Oryctolagus cuniculus: one gene and its partners. The protein of the gene in region 3 interacts with the protein of the main gene of each other region in a biochemical or structural test. Links are inferred from orthologs where the notes say so. Each region holds a gene or a part of one and is shown on either strand. Other genes may lie near its edges.

Region 1 (3,739 bases), on a different chromosome or scaffold from region 3:
GGCCCTGCCCCCGCTCACCTGACGCCGTCCTCGTCCCCCAGGGCCTCGGGCGCCCGCAGCTTGGAGTCCAGGTTGTAGTAGACGCCGTCCACCTGGCGCAGGGCCACCCAGTGCCGCCGGCGCAGCGGCAGGGACAGCAGCCCCAGCGAGACGGGGGAGGGCAGGTTCAGGATCAGCCCCAGCACCTGAGGCAGGGCCAGCTGGGACAGCGGCCTGCGGGCGGAGGGGACGAGGGGACTCGGTCGCCGGCCCTGCCGCCCGCCCCCACCCCCTCCCTCGCCCGCCCACCAGATCCAGGCCTGTCCAGTCTCCAGCACAGCCGCCGCCCATCCGCACCTCCCTCCACCCCCCCTGCCCCCCCCGCTCCTCCCTCACCCACCCACCCACCCGTGTCCTCCCCACTGCCGCCAGCCCACCTGCTCCTGCCCAGACTGCCCGTGAGTGGGCCCTCTAGCTCACCCCGTGGCCACGCGGCGCCCGGGGCCCTACCTCCTCCTGTCCCACCACACGGCGGCCAGGCCCAGGCCCTGCAGGGCGGCCATGATGACGTTGACGTCATAGCTGCCGGTGCCCAGGAAGCTGCGGTGTGGGTTCAGCCGGGAGTCTGGGGCCAGCCTGGGGGGCGGGCGAGAGTCGGGGTGGAGGCGGGGACCCCCTCTCTTCCCACACCGCAGGAAGGGCCCCTCGTCCTCGACTCATCCTTGTCTTCAATGCCCCCCAAGACCTGCACCTCTGAACCCCGACCCTGCCCTGCACAGAGCCCCTCGGCCCCTCTCGCCATCACCATCCCCCTCCTCTGTCCTGCAAGCCCACCCAAGGCGTCGCCTCCCTGGAGATGCCCGCTGACCCCCAGGCCCGGCCCTTCAGTGCCTGGGACCGCCTGGATGGCCGCCACTGGCCCCACTTGTCTCTGGGAGGACCCTGCCCCCGCCCCGCCCCCCCATCGACCCCGTCCCTCCTGCTCGCCCAGCGCCCACAGCCCTGCGTGGTCTGCTCCCTGCTGGCTCCACCTCCCAGCCTATGCTCCAGGCCCAGGGCCACCCTGCACCCCCACCCCATGTCTCTGGGCCCAGCCTCATCCAGCTTTGTCCCCAGCAGGCCCTGGGGGGCAGGTGGGAGGGGACAGCCCACCTCCCGCCCCCACCTCCCGCACAGATCCCTCGGGGGCTGTGGGTCAGCGGCGCAAGGCGGGCAGTGGGGAGAGACAGGCAGGGCCACTTCTGGGGTGCACGGGTGGGGTCAGGGGGAGGCCGGTGGACCAGGGCCAGGCCTGAGCCGGTGGCTGGGAGGGACAGCAGGCAGTGCAGACGCGATGCAGGCGTGAAGTCTGAAGTCTGGGCCGGTGAGGGCAGCCACGCCCGGCAGAGAGAACTAACTGCCCGTGCAAAGGCCCGGGGGCAGCACAGTGCGGGAGGCCCAGGGCCCGGGGCGCCAGGGGGACGGGCAGCAGGCTGGCTCCGGGGTTGTGTGGAGGCTGCACCGGCGGAGGCCCAGGTAGGAGGCGGCGGGCCGGGCGGTGGCGGTCACCTCTTACAGATGTCGTCGGCAGCCTCCTGGCTGAAGAGCCGCTGCTGCAGGACGTTGTTGAGGGCGTGCACGGCGCACAGCTCCAGGCGCTGCCGCTCGTGGTACACGGAGGGCGGGCGCGGCCGAGCTCCCGGGGCCTGGGACATGCCGTCCTGGGCTCCTCCTGCGGAGGGGGCGCAGAGGCCGCTCAGGGGCCCAGGGCCTGGGGGCGGCTTCCTCCATGGAGGGCAGGGCCTGGGCAGCCGGGGACGACACGGGACCCCCGCGCCCTGGCTCTCCAGGGACAAGGCTCCCTGGCATCCGGGGCTGGCGACGGAGACGCAGCCCTCCGCGGCCCTGGGCAACGGGACCCCCGCTGGTTACCTAGCAACGGAGGACCCCCCCCCGACAACAAAGTCTCTGATTACCCAGCGAAACCGGAAGTCTCCTCCCCTGCCTCTGGGTGACGGGGGAGGGGTCTCTACCGGTCGCCTAGCAACACCAGAGCCCGCCTTCCCCTGGCAACCAGCCCCCTCCCCGGACAACAGGAAAAGCAGCGCGGTGCCCAGGTCCCCTGCGCCTGGCGACGCCCCTCACCCCGTCGGCCTCTCTGCTCCCCGGAGCCGGGGGCTCCCGCATCCCCTCGGACGGCGGCGCTGGGCTCCGAGCGCGGCACGAGCAGTTCCGCGCTGACGGGGCAGGCGGGACGGACTACAGCTCCCAGCGACACCAGCAAAGTGGACTACAACTCCCGGCGGCCCCAGCGGGCAGGGCCGCTTAACCCGGAAGTCCGCCGTCGCCCCTCCAGGGCGCGCGACTATAACTTCCGTGGGTCGGGGGAGGAGGGGGTGCAAATCCCGGAAATGCGCCCCGCGCCCGCCCCCTGGCTGCGACCGCGCCCACGGCCGCTCGGAAGCTCCTGGGAAACGCAGCGGGTAGGTTCTCGCGATAGCTTCCGGGCCTGTGCCCGCCCATTGCAGTGGCGTCACACGCGGAGTGCGGACGCGGCGTGACGTCACGGAAGGGAAAGAAGGCCGGGATGGTGGGGGAGGAGCCTCGGGTCTTTACTGAGACTGGAGGGACATCCCGGGAAAGGGGGGCCGGGGCCTGGCCGGGGGTGGGGCGGAGGCGGGGAGGGTCCGCCCGCCGAGGGGCCGGCCGGGGAGGGCGGGGGCGGGGAGGGTCCGCCCACCGAGGGGCCGGCCGGGTGGGCGGAGGCTTCTCAGCAGAGGTGGATTCCGGGCCCGGGGGGCAGCTGGCGGCAGCCTGCGGGGGAGACAGGAGCTGAGCCGGACCCCCGCGGGGGCACGGGGCAGTCGCGGAGCGAGAAGGCTGGGGGGCTCGGAAGTAATGGACGTCGGGCCAGGCGGACCCAGGCCCCCCGGCCTCCGGTCCCCCGGCCCTCCGCCCCCCAGACCCTGGCCCCGGGCCCCTGCCCCCGGACCCCCGGACCCCGCCCCCTGGATCCCCGGGCCCCGCCCCCAGACCCCGGTCCCGCCCCCCGGACCCCGCCCCCAGACCCCCGGCCCCCGGATCTCGGGACCCCGCTCCAGGGGCCGGCCGCACCCAGGAGGCTGCGCCAGAAAGCCGCGACGGTGGCCGAGCCCGTGACGGCGCCCGGCTCTGCAGGGTTCTCTCTGTGGGTGTGCACGGCAAAGCGCCGGCCCGTGGGCCCCGGGGGTCCGCGCAGCTCCACGTCCACGACGTGCATGTCCGCGAGGCTGCAGGAGGCGGGGGGGGGTCAGTGTGGGGGCCTGCAGCCCGCGCGACCCCTCCCCGCTCAGCTCCGCTCACCTGAGATCGGCCACCAGCACCCCGATCACGCCGTCGAAACCCAGGCTGGGGGCAGCCAGCGCAGCGGCCGCCATGGTGTTGGAGTTACGCGGGGCAAAGGGGCAGAGTCCACGGACGGGGCCTTCGTAGAGGACCGTGCGAGGCCCAGTGCTGTGGGCTGCGGCAGCCAGGGGTCCCTCGAGCCGGAAGCCATCCGGGTGCGTGGCCATAGTGACGCGGAGGCTCTGGGAGCGGGGGCCGAGGTCAGAGGGGCTGGGGTCCTGCAGGCCCCCTCCGGCCCCGGGGAGCCCAGCGGGTCCCTCACCTGGAGGCCTCCGGCCGCGTCCAACCTCATGATGTCCTCAGCGCCCCACAGGGCCCCTCGAGCCACAAACACAGCGTGGTTCCAGCGCTGCGAGGCCTCCCGGAGCTGCCGCTCGGTGGTCGGGTCAGCCAGCGC
Region 2 (3,739 bases), on a different chromosome or scaffold from region 3:
TGTGGGCTGCGCTCACGCTCCCAAGCGCTCTCCAACCTTCTCCTGGAAGAGCGGGTTTTCCTAGAGACCACGAGGGAGCGGAGCGGTCAGGTGCCTTTAGGTTGGGAGCGTCCAGCTGTTCCAGAGGGCCAGGCCCGTCGAGGGAGGAAGTGGGCCAACAAAGGGAGAGCTGGACACAAAGGCTCCGAGGGCCGGCGCGCTGAGCCGCGGCGTCCTTCCAGGGCAGACCCCGACGCTGACAGTGAGGACCCTACAGCCTGGATGTGGCTCTTATTTTTTTTCTTTTTTAACATTTATTTGAAAGGTAGGGTGAGAGAGGTCTTCCACCCGGAAGTTCACTCCCCAGATGGCCAGGCTGCAGCGTGAGCCAGGGACTCCACGCGGTCTCCCACGTGGGGAGGGCCCGGCCGCCGCCGCCCCCGCCCCGGGCTCCGAGCGCCCCAGTCCCACTTAGACCTGGCCTGGGGCGGCCCCCGGGGCTCCGGCGCTGCACGCCGCTGCTTCTCCGGAAGCGAAAGGCTACGGGTTTCCCGGAACCCCGGCGGCGGCGGCGGCCGGGCGAGCGTGGTTCAGCACCTGGGCACGGGGAGGCCGTGGCATCGGGGAGCCGGCCCGGGGGGCTTCCGCGGCCCTCGCCCTCCTCACGCCCGGCCTCGGGCCGCACCTCTGCGGAAGCCCAGGCGCCGGAACGCAGCCCTCGACCCGTAACCGCCGCCGCAGGCCCGCAGCACGACTCCAAAACCCAGTCCCCAGACACAGCGGACGACCCGGCCCGGCGACCGAAAGCTGGCAAGGCCTGCACCCCAGGCCGCTGCACCTTGCGCGGGCGACTCGTTGGGAGCGGCCCCGAGCTGTCATAACCCACGGGCCATTTTTTGCACATTTCACACTACAAGGGCAGGGACCTCAGGGCTCGACGCCCCCTCCCCCGCCCCGGCTCGCCCGGCGCCGCGAGGACGCATGCGCACGCGCCCGCGCTCGCGCCCGCGCTTGGCGGGCTTAGGAGCCCGGAAGGCGCCGAGCCCGCGCAGGCGCACAGGGGCCGGCGCGAGGGCGCGCGGCGGCGCGGGCGGGCGGGGGGCGCCCGCCGTTCCCTGCGCGGGGTCGTGCGCGAGCCCGGGGCAGGGGCGGGCCACAGCCAGGGCGCAGGCGCAGGCGCGTGGCCGCGGTGGCGGTTGGGGAGGGTTCTTCCGGAAGGTTCGGGAGGCTTCTCGAAAAGGCGCCGCGCGCTGGGCGGGCCCGCCTCTATATAAGGGCGGCGCGGGGGCGGCGCGCCAGTTGCTCCAGCGTCCCGGTGCTGCTGCGTCGCGGAGGCCGTGCGGTTCTTCAGCCAAGGTGAGGGGGCTGCGGGGGGTCTCAGGCCCGGGGGTGTGCGGGGGCGGCGGCGGGGAGCGGGGGCGGCCGGGGGCCCCCTCGGCCGCGGTGCCCGAGCGGCCGCGGTTCGGCCTCCGCGGCCGGGGCCTGTGGAGCCGCCTCCGGCGGGCCGGGGGCGCCGCGAATGTTCTGGAGAGGCCGCGGGGCGGGGGCGGGGCGGGGGCGCCGGTGCGGGGCTGCGGGGGGTGGCGCCCAGCCCCCGGCCGTGCCGTGCCGGCCGCCATGGCGGGGCCGCGGCCCGCGGAGGGCGGCCGGCGGCGGCGCGGGGCGAGCGGGGCCCGGCCGCGGCGTCCGCCCCGCAGCGCGCACGCTCCCGCGCCTGCCGCAGCTCGAAATGAGGTCATCCCTTTGTGAGGCGCCCGCGCCGGCCTCGGGGCGGGCGGCGGGGGCCGTGCGGCGCCTGATGGGCCTCGTGCCCTTGGCAGATGCCCGAGGAGACCCAGACCCAAGACCAGCCGATGGAGGAGGAGGAGGTGGAGACGTTCGCCTTCCAGGCGGAAATCGCCCAGTTGATGTCCCTCATCATCAACACTTTCTACTCGAACAAAGAGATCTTCCTGCGGGAGCTGATCTCAAACTCGTCGGATGTAAGTGGCGGCGGGGAGGAAGGGGCCCTGGCCTCGGGGGGCGGGGGTGGGAGGGCGCCGGCTGGGTGCTGAGGACTTGGGGTCTTCCAGGCTCTGGACAAGATCCGCTATGAAAGCCTAACCGACCCCAGCAAGCTGGACTCGGGCAAGGAGCTGCACATCAACCTGATTCCCAACAAGCAAGACCGAACCCTGACCATCGTGGACACGGGCATCGGCATGACCAAGGCCGACCTGATCAACAACCTGGGCACCATCGCCAAGTCCGGCACCAAGGCCTTCATGGAGGCGCTGCAGGCTGGCGCCGACATCTCCATGATTGGCCAGTTCGGGGTCGGCTTCTACTCGGCGTACCTGGTGGCTGAGAAGGTGACGGTGATCACCAAGCACAACGACGACGAGCAGTACGCCTGGGAGTCCTCGGCGGGGGGCTCGTTCACTGTGCGGACCGACGCAGGTAGGGGGAGGGGCGCTGGGCGTGCTGGCGAGGGGGCCGGGGCTGGCGGGGCCGGCCTCGCGGGGTTCCGCCGCCGCGTTCGCCCGGGCCGGCCTGGCCTCGCGGGGTTCCGCCGCCTCGTTGGCCCGGGCCGTGCTGGCCTCGCGGGGTTCCGCCGCCCCGTGCGACCCGGCGCGCTGGCTTCCCCGCAGGTGAGCCCATGGGGCGCGGCACGAAGGTGGTGCTGCACCTGAAGGAGGACCAGACGGAGTACCTGGAGGAGCGGCGCATCAAGGAGATCGTGAAGAAGCACTCGCAGTTCATCGGCTACCCCATCACGCTGTTCGTGGAGAAGGAGCGCGACAAGGAGGTGAGTGACGACGAGGCCGAGGAGAAGGAGGACAAGGACAAGGAGGAGGAGGACAAGCAGCCCGACGACAAGCCGGAGATCGAGGACGTGGGCTCGGACGAGGAGGAGGAGGAGAAGAAGGACGGCGACAAGAAGAAGAAGAAGAAGATCAAGGAGAAGTACATCGACCAGGAGGAGCTCAACAAGACGAAGCCCATCTGGACCAGGAACCCCGACGACATCACCAACGAGGAGTACGGGGAGTTCTACAAGAGCCTGACCAACGACTGGGAGGACCACCTGGCCGTGAAGGTGAGCGCCCCGCGCCCGGAGGGTGGCAGCCCGGCCCCGGCGCCGTCGCGGTGGTGGTGGTTGGCACCGGGCCTGTGTGTCGTTGCAGCACTTCTCGGTTGAGGGGCAGCTGGAGTTCAGAGCGCTGCTCTTCGTCCCGAGACGAGCCCCGTTTGACCTGTTTGAAAACCGGAAGAAGAAGAACAACATCAAGTTGTACGTTCGCAGAGTCTTCATCATGGACAACTGTGAGGAGCTGATCCCTGAGTACCTGAGTGAGTAGGAGCGGGAGTGAGCCCAGTGTCGCTGGTGATGCCACCATGTCTCGTCCGTCTGCTGGGGGGGGGGGGGGCGGGGTGTGTGTGTGTGTGTGCTTAGACTGAGGGCGCGGTCTCCGCTACCTCAGATTTCATCAGAGGGGTGGTGGACTCGGAGGACCTCCCGCTGAACATCTCCCGGGAGATGCTGCAGCAGAGCAAGATCCTGAAAGTTATCAGGAAGAACTTGGTCAAAAAGTGTCTGGAGCTCTTCACGGAACTGGCAGAAGACAAAGAGAATTACAAGAAGTTTTATGAGCAGTTCTCCAAAAATATAAAGGTGGGTGCAGACACACCGACGGCTGCCAGCTGGGTCCACACTGCCCCGCGGGGAGTGGTGAACCGAAGCCGTTCTCACAGGCGGGCTCTGTTTCAGCTGGGGATC
Region 3 (3,207 bases):
CCGCAGACACCCTGTACTTCTTCGGCGACAACAACTTCACCGAGTGGGCGTCTCTGTTCCGGCACTACGCCCCGCCGCCCTACGGCCTGCTGGGCACGGCGCCCGCGCACAGCTTCGGCGTGGCAGGTGCTCCCGGGAGCCGGGGACGGGGGCAGGGCAGGGGGGTGTGGTTTTTTGCTCACCCGCCAAACCCACAGGCGCGGGCACCGGGGTGCCCTTCCACTGGCACGGGCCCGGGTATTCGGAGGTCATCTACGGCCGCAAGGTCAGTGCCGTGGGCAGGGGCTGGGCGCGCGGACCCGCGGACCCGGGGTGAGCGTGCGCTTCCCCTCCCCCAGCGCTGGTTCCTGTACCCGCCCGAGAAGACGCCGCAGTTCCACCCCAACGAGACCACGCTGGCCTGGCTCCGGGACACGTACCCAGGCCTGGCCCCGGCCGCGCGGCCGCTCGAGTGCACCATCTCCGCGGGCGAGGTCCGGGCCGGGGCCGGGGCCGGGGCCGGGGCGGGGGAGGCGAGGCCCCCCGCTGACGCCCGCGCCCCTCCCGCAGGTGCTGTACTTCCCGGCCCGCTGGTGGCACGCCACGCTCAACCTGGACACGTGCGTGTTCATCTCCACCTTCCTGGGCTAGCGCTCGTGCTCACGGACTTTATTGCAGGACAGGGGCGGCGCCGGGGCGGGGGCGGGGGCGGGCCTTGCAGGGGCTCAGTAGTCCTCCACCCAGCCGTTCTCCGAGATGAACGCGTCGATGACCTCCTTCATGGCCAGGTTGGGGATGAGCTGCTCCTGGGTCAGGGGGCTCCGGGTCACGGGGTCAAAGTGGCCCACGCGCTGCGGGGACAGCGGGGTCAGCGGCGCGGCGGGGCGGGGCGCCCGGCCGGGCCGCCGCGGCCGCACCCACCTGCAGGTGCTCCTCGATGTCCTTGCGGTCGTAGGTGATGCCGCTGGGGGTGATGCAGGGCTCCCGCATCAGCTCGAAGCTGATCTTGCCGCACAGATAGTCGGGGACGTCGCGCCTCTGCACACAGGGCGCGCTCAGTGGGCGGGCGGCCGGCACCTGCCCACGGGCCCCGCCGACAAGGCTCACCTTTCTCTTCTCGTCCACTTGCGAGAAGAGCTCGTCCATGTCCGCCAAGTACTTGTCCTGGAAGAAGCGAGGGGGCGCTGCCCCGGGGCCGCACACGGCCCTCCCCCGGCCCAGCGCCGCCTGCCCCCGCCGCCCCCGCCGCCCCCGGGGCCCGCGCCCGCCGGCCGGGCCGCCCTCACGTGCTTGGCCTCAATGCAGGCCTGCTGGGCGCGGACGTGGCCGTCGTCCTCGTCCCCCTCGTGGCTCCGCTGGCACTCCTCCAGCTCCCTGCGGGCGAGCGGCCGCGCGTCAGGACCCGCCCCGCCCCGCCCCGCCCCGCCCCGCTGTCAATAAACGCGCGGAGGGGCCCACCTCTCGCGCTCGGCCGCGATGAGCCTGGCGAGGTAGGCGTGCAGCTCGCTCTCCTGGTGGATGCGCCGCTCCTCCAGGCTGTTCCAGCGCTTCTTCTTGGCGATGCGCAGCGCGCTGGGGATGTCGTCGCCGAAGTTGAGCCGCTGCTCCTTGGCCAGGCTGTAGGCTGCGGGCGCGGGGCGCGCGGTCAGCCCGGCCGGCCGCCCGCAGCCGCGCCGCGCGCCCCGCGCCGCGCGCCCACCTCGCTGCAGGTTGGCGATGGCCTCGTCGTAGCTCTCCAGCTCCAGCTGGCACTGGCCCAGGAAGAAGTGCGCCTTCACCGACTGGCCGTCCAGCTCCAGCGCGCGCCGGCAGTCGGCCAGCGCCTGCTCGTGCTGCTGCATCTTCAGGTAGCACAGGGCGCGGTTGGTGTAGTACACCGCCACCAGCGGGTTGCGCGTCTGGGGAGAGCGGGCGGCCGCGCTGTGGGCGTGCGCGCGGGCCGCACCCGCACCGCACCCGCACCCGGGCGGCCGCCGCCGCCGGGGCCGAGTCAAACGCCCCAAGCCGGGGGGCCCCGAAGGGCCGCGCCCCGGCGCCAGGCCCGCCCCCGGCGCGGCGCACTCACGATGGCGCGGCCGTAGCAGGCCGCCGCCTCCGGGTACTTGCGGCCCACGAAGAGCCGGTTGCCCTGCTCCTTGAGCTCCTGCGCGCTCGGGCTCTTCTCGGGGCTGCCGCCGCCGCCCAGCCGCGCGCCGCCCTCCTTCTCCTCCTTGCCCTTCATGGCGCCGCGCGGCACGGCCTGGGCTCCGCTCGCGGGCTCCGCGCCCGGCCGCCCGCAGCCCGCGCCCCGCTCGGCCCGGCCCGGATCGCCGCCACCGGAACTTCCGGCCGCGGGGGGCGGGGTCGCGCGTGCGCGCTGCGGCGGGGTGGGGGCGGGGCCCGCCGCGCGGAGCCTCCGAAGGACCGCCTCCCTGCGGCCGGGCTCCGCCCCTCCGCGCACGCCCCGCCCCCGGCATGGGGGCAGCGGGAGGCCGAGGCGTGCAGCGCGTGCGGGCCCCCGGGGGCGGGCCCCGCCGGCGGAGACGACCCAGGACGCCCTGACCCGCAGCTGAGTACGGCCTCAGCTGCCGCAGCCGCCCGGGCACCCTGTGCGGCCCGTGAGGCAGCGTCCGCACAGGTGGGAGCGACCCCGCCGGCGCCGCCCCCTCGGCATGGGCGGTGGGACACCGTGCCTGACCGGCCCCAGCCTGGCCCCCTCCCCCACGGCGTGCAGGCCGAACTCGTGGGCCAGGACACCCACCGCCTGTCCCCTGGGGCCGCAGCCCAGTCCCTTCGTAGATGGGAGGGCCCCGCACGGTCCGCGGGAAGCGGGGGGCAGAGACGCCTCCAGACCCCGGACAGCCACCTGGTGCCGTGTAAAATATTTATTCACTCTGCAAAAGGCGCGGACCGCGGACCCGGGGGCGGGGCGGGGGCAGGGCCTCCCCTGTGCCCAGGAGGCGGTCAGGGCGGCGGGGGGACGTGGGCGCCCAGCAGGTCGTAGGCAAAGACGTTCCAGAAGACGGCGAAGAGCAGGAAGGTGCCGTAGGCCAGCAGGACCACCCACCAGCCGCACTGGTCCCGCAGGCGCTCCTCGTAGCTGCGTAGGATGGTGAGGCCCATGCTCACGCCCACCACGGCGCCCGCCAGGTGCGCCATGAAGCTGGGCTGCGGGCCCGAGGCGGGCAGCGGCGGCGAGAAGCGCAGCCACACGGCGCGGCCCACCTCCGAGCTCACTGCGGAGGGAGG

The links.
Region 1: the proteins of STUB1 (region 3) and JOSD2 form a complex in vitro, tested with the Homo sapiens proteins (2 studies listed by BioGRID, with this or other methods). The link is inferred for Oryctolagus cuniculus from reciprocal best matches to the Homo sapiens genes STUB1 and JOSD2.
Region 2: the proteins of STUB1 (region 3) and HSP90AA1 form a complex in vitro, tested with the Homo sapiens proteins (14 studies listed by BioGRID and IntAct, with this or other methods). The link is inferred for Oryctolagus cuniculus from reciprocal best matches to the Homo sapiens genes STUB1 and HSP90AA1.

What each region holds. Positions count from the first base shown.
Region 1 is NC_091449.1:7,410,349-7,414,087, reverse strand, and holds the start of JOSD2 (josephin-2), read right to left. Parts: upstream 2,474-3,739; 5' UTR 2,104-2,473; intron 1,891-2,103; 5' UTR 1,674-1,890; coding exon 1,528-1,673; intron 616-1,527; coding exon 490-615; intron 214-489; coding exon 19-213; intron 1-18. Other genes in the region: ASPDH (aspartate dehydrogenase domain-containing protein), read right to left, coding at 2,729-2,772, 3,073-3,227, 3,301-3,524, 3,605-3,739. UniProt on the Homo sapiens protein: Cleaves 'Lys-63'-linked poly-ubiquitin chains, and with lesser efficiency 'Lys-48'-linked poly-ubiquitin chains (in vitro). May act as a deubiquitinating enzyme.
Region 2 is NC_091451.1:45,356,629-45,360,367, reverse strand, and holds the start of HSP90AA1 (heat shock protein HSP 90-alpha), read left to right. Parts: upstream 1-1,090; 5' UTR 1,091-1,335; intron 1,336-1,799; coding exon 1,800-1,961; intron 1,962-2,051; coding exon 2,052-2,418; intron 2,419-2,609; coding exon 2,610-3,058; intron 3,059-3,146; coding exon 3,147-3,312; intron 3,313-3,443; coding exon 3,444-3,634; intron 3,635-3,730; coding exon 3,731-3,739. UniProt on the Homo sapiens protein: Molecular chaperone that promotes the maturation, structural maintenance and proper regulation of specific target proteins involved for instance in cell cycle control and signal transduction.
Region 3 is NC_091450.1:34,026,326-34,029,532, forward strand, and holds STUB1 (E3 ubiquitin-protein ligase CHIP), read right to left. Parts: upstream 2,201-3,207; coding exon 2,045-2,200; intron 1,878-2,044; coding exon 1,679-1,877; intron 1,604-1,678; coding exon 1,438-1,603; exon of another isoform or gene 1,354-1,437; coding exon 1,266-1,353; exon of another isoform or gene 1,144-1,265; coding exon 901-1,143; exon of another isoform or gene 831-900; coding exon 705-830; 3' UTR 634-704; downstream 1-633. Other genes in the region: JMJD8 (jmjC domain-containing protein 8), read left to right, coding at 7-126, 198-265, 339-473, 550-630; RHBDL1 (rhomboid-related protein 1), read right to left, coding at 2,540-3,194. UniProt on the Homo sapiens protein: E3 ubiquitin-protein ligase which targets misfolded chaperone substrates towards proteasomal degradation.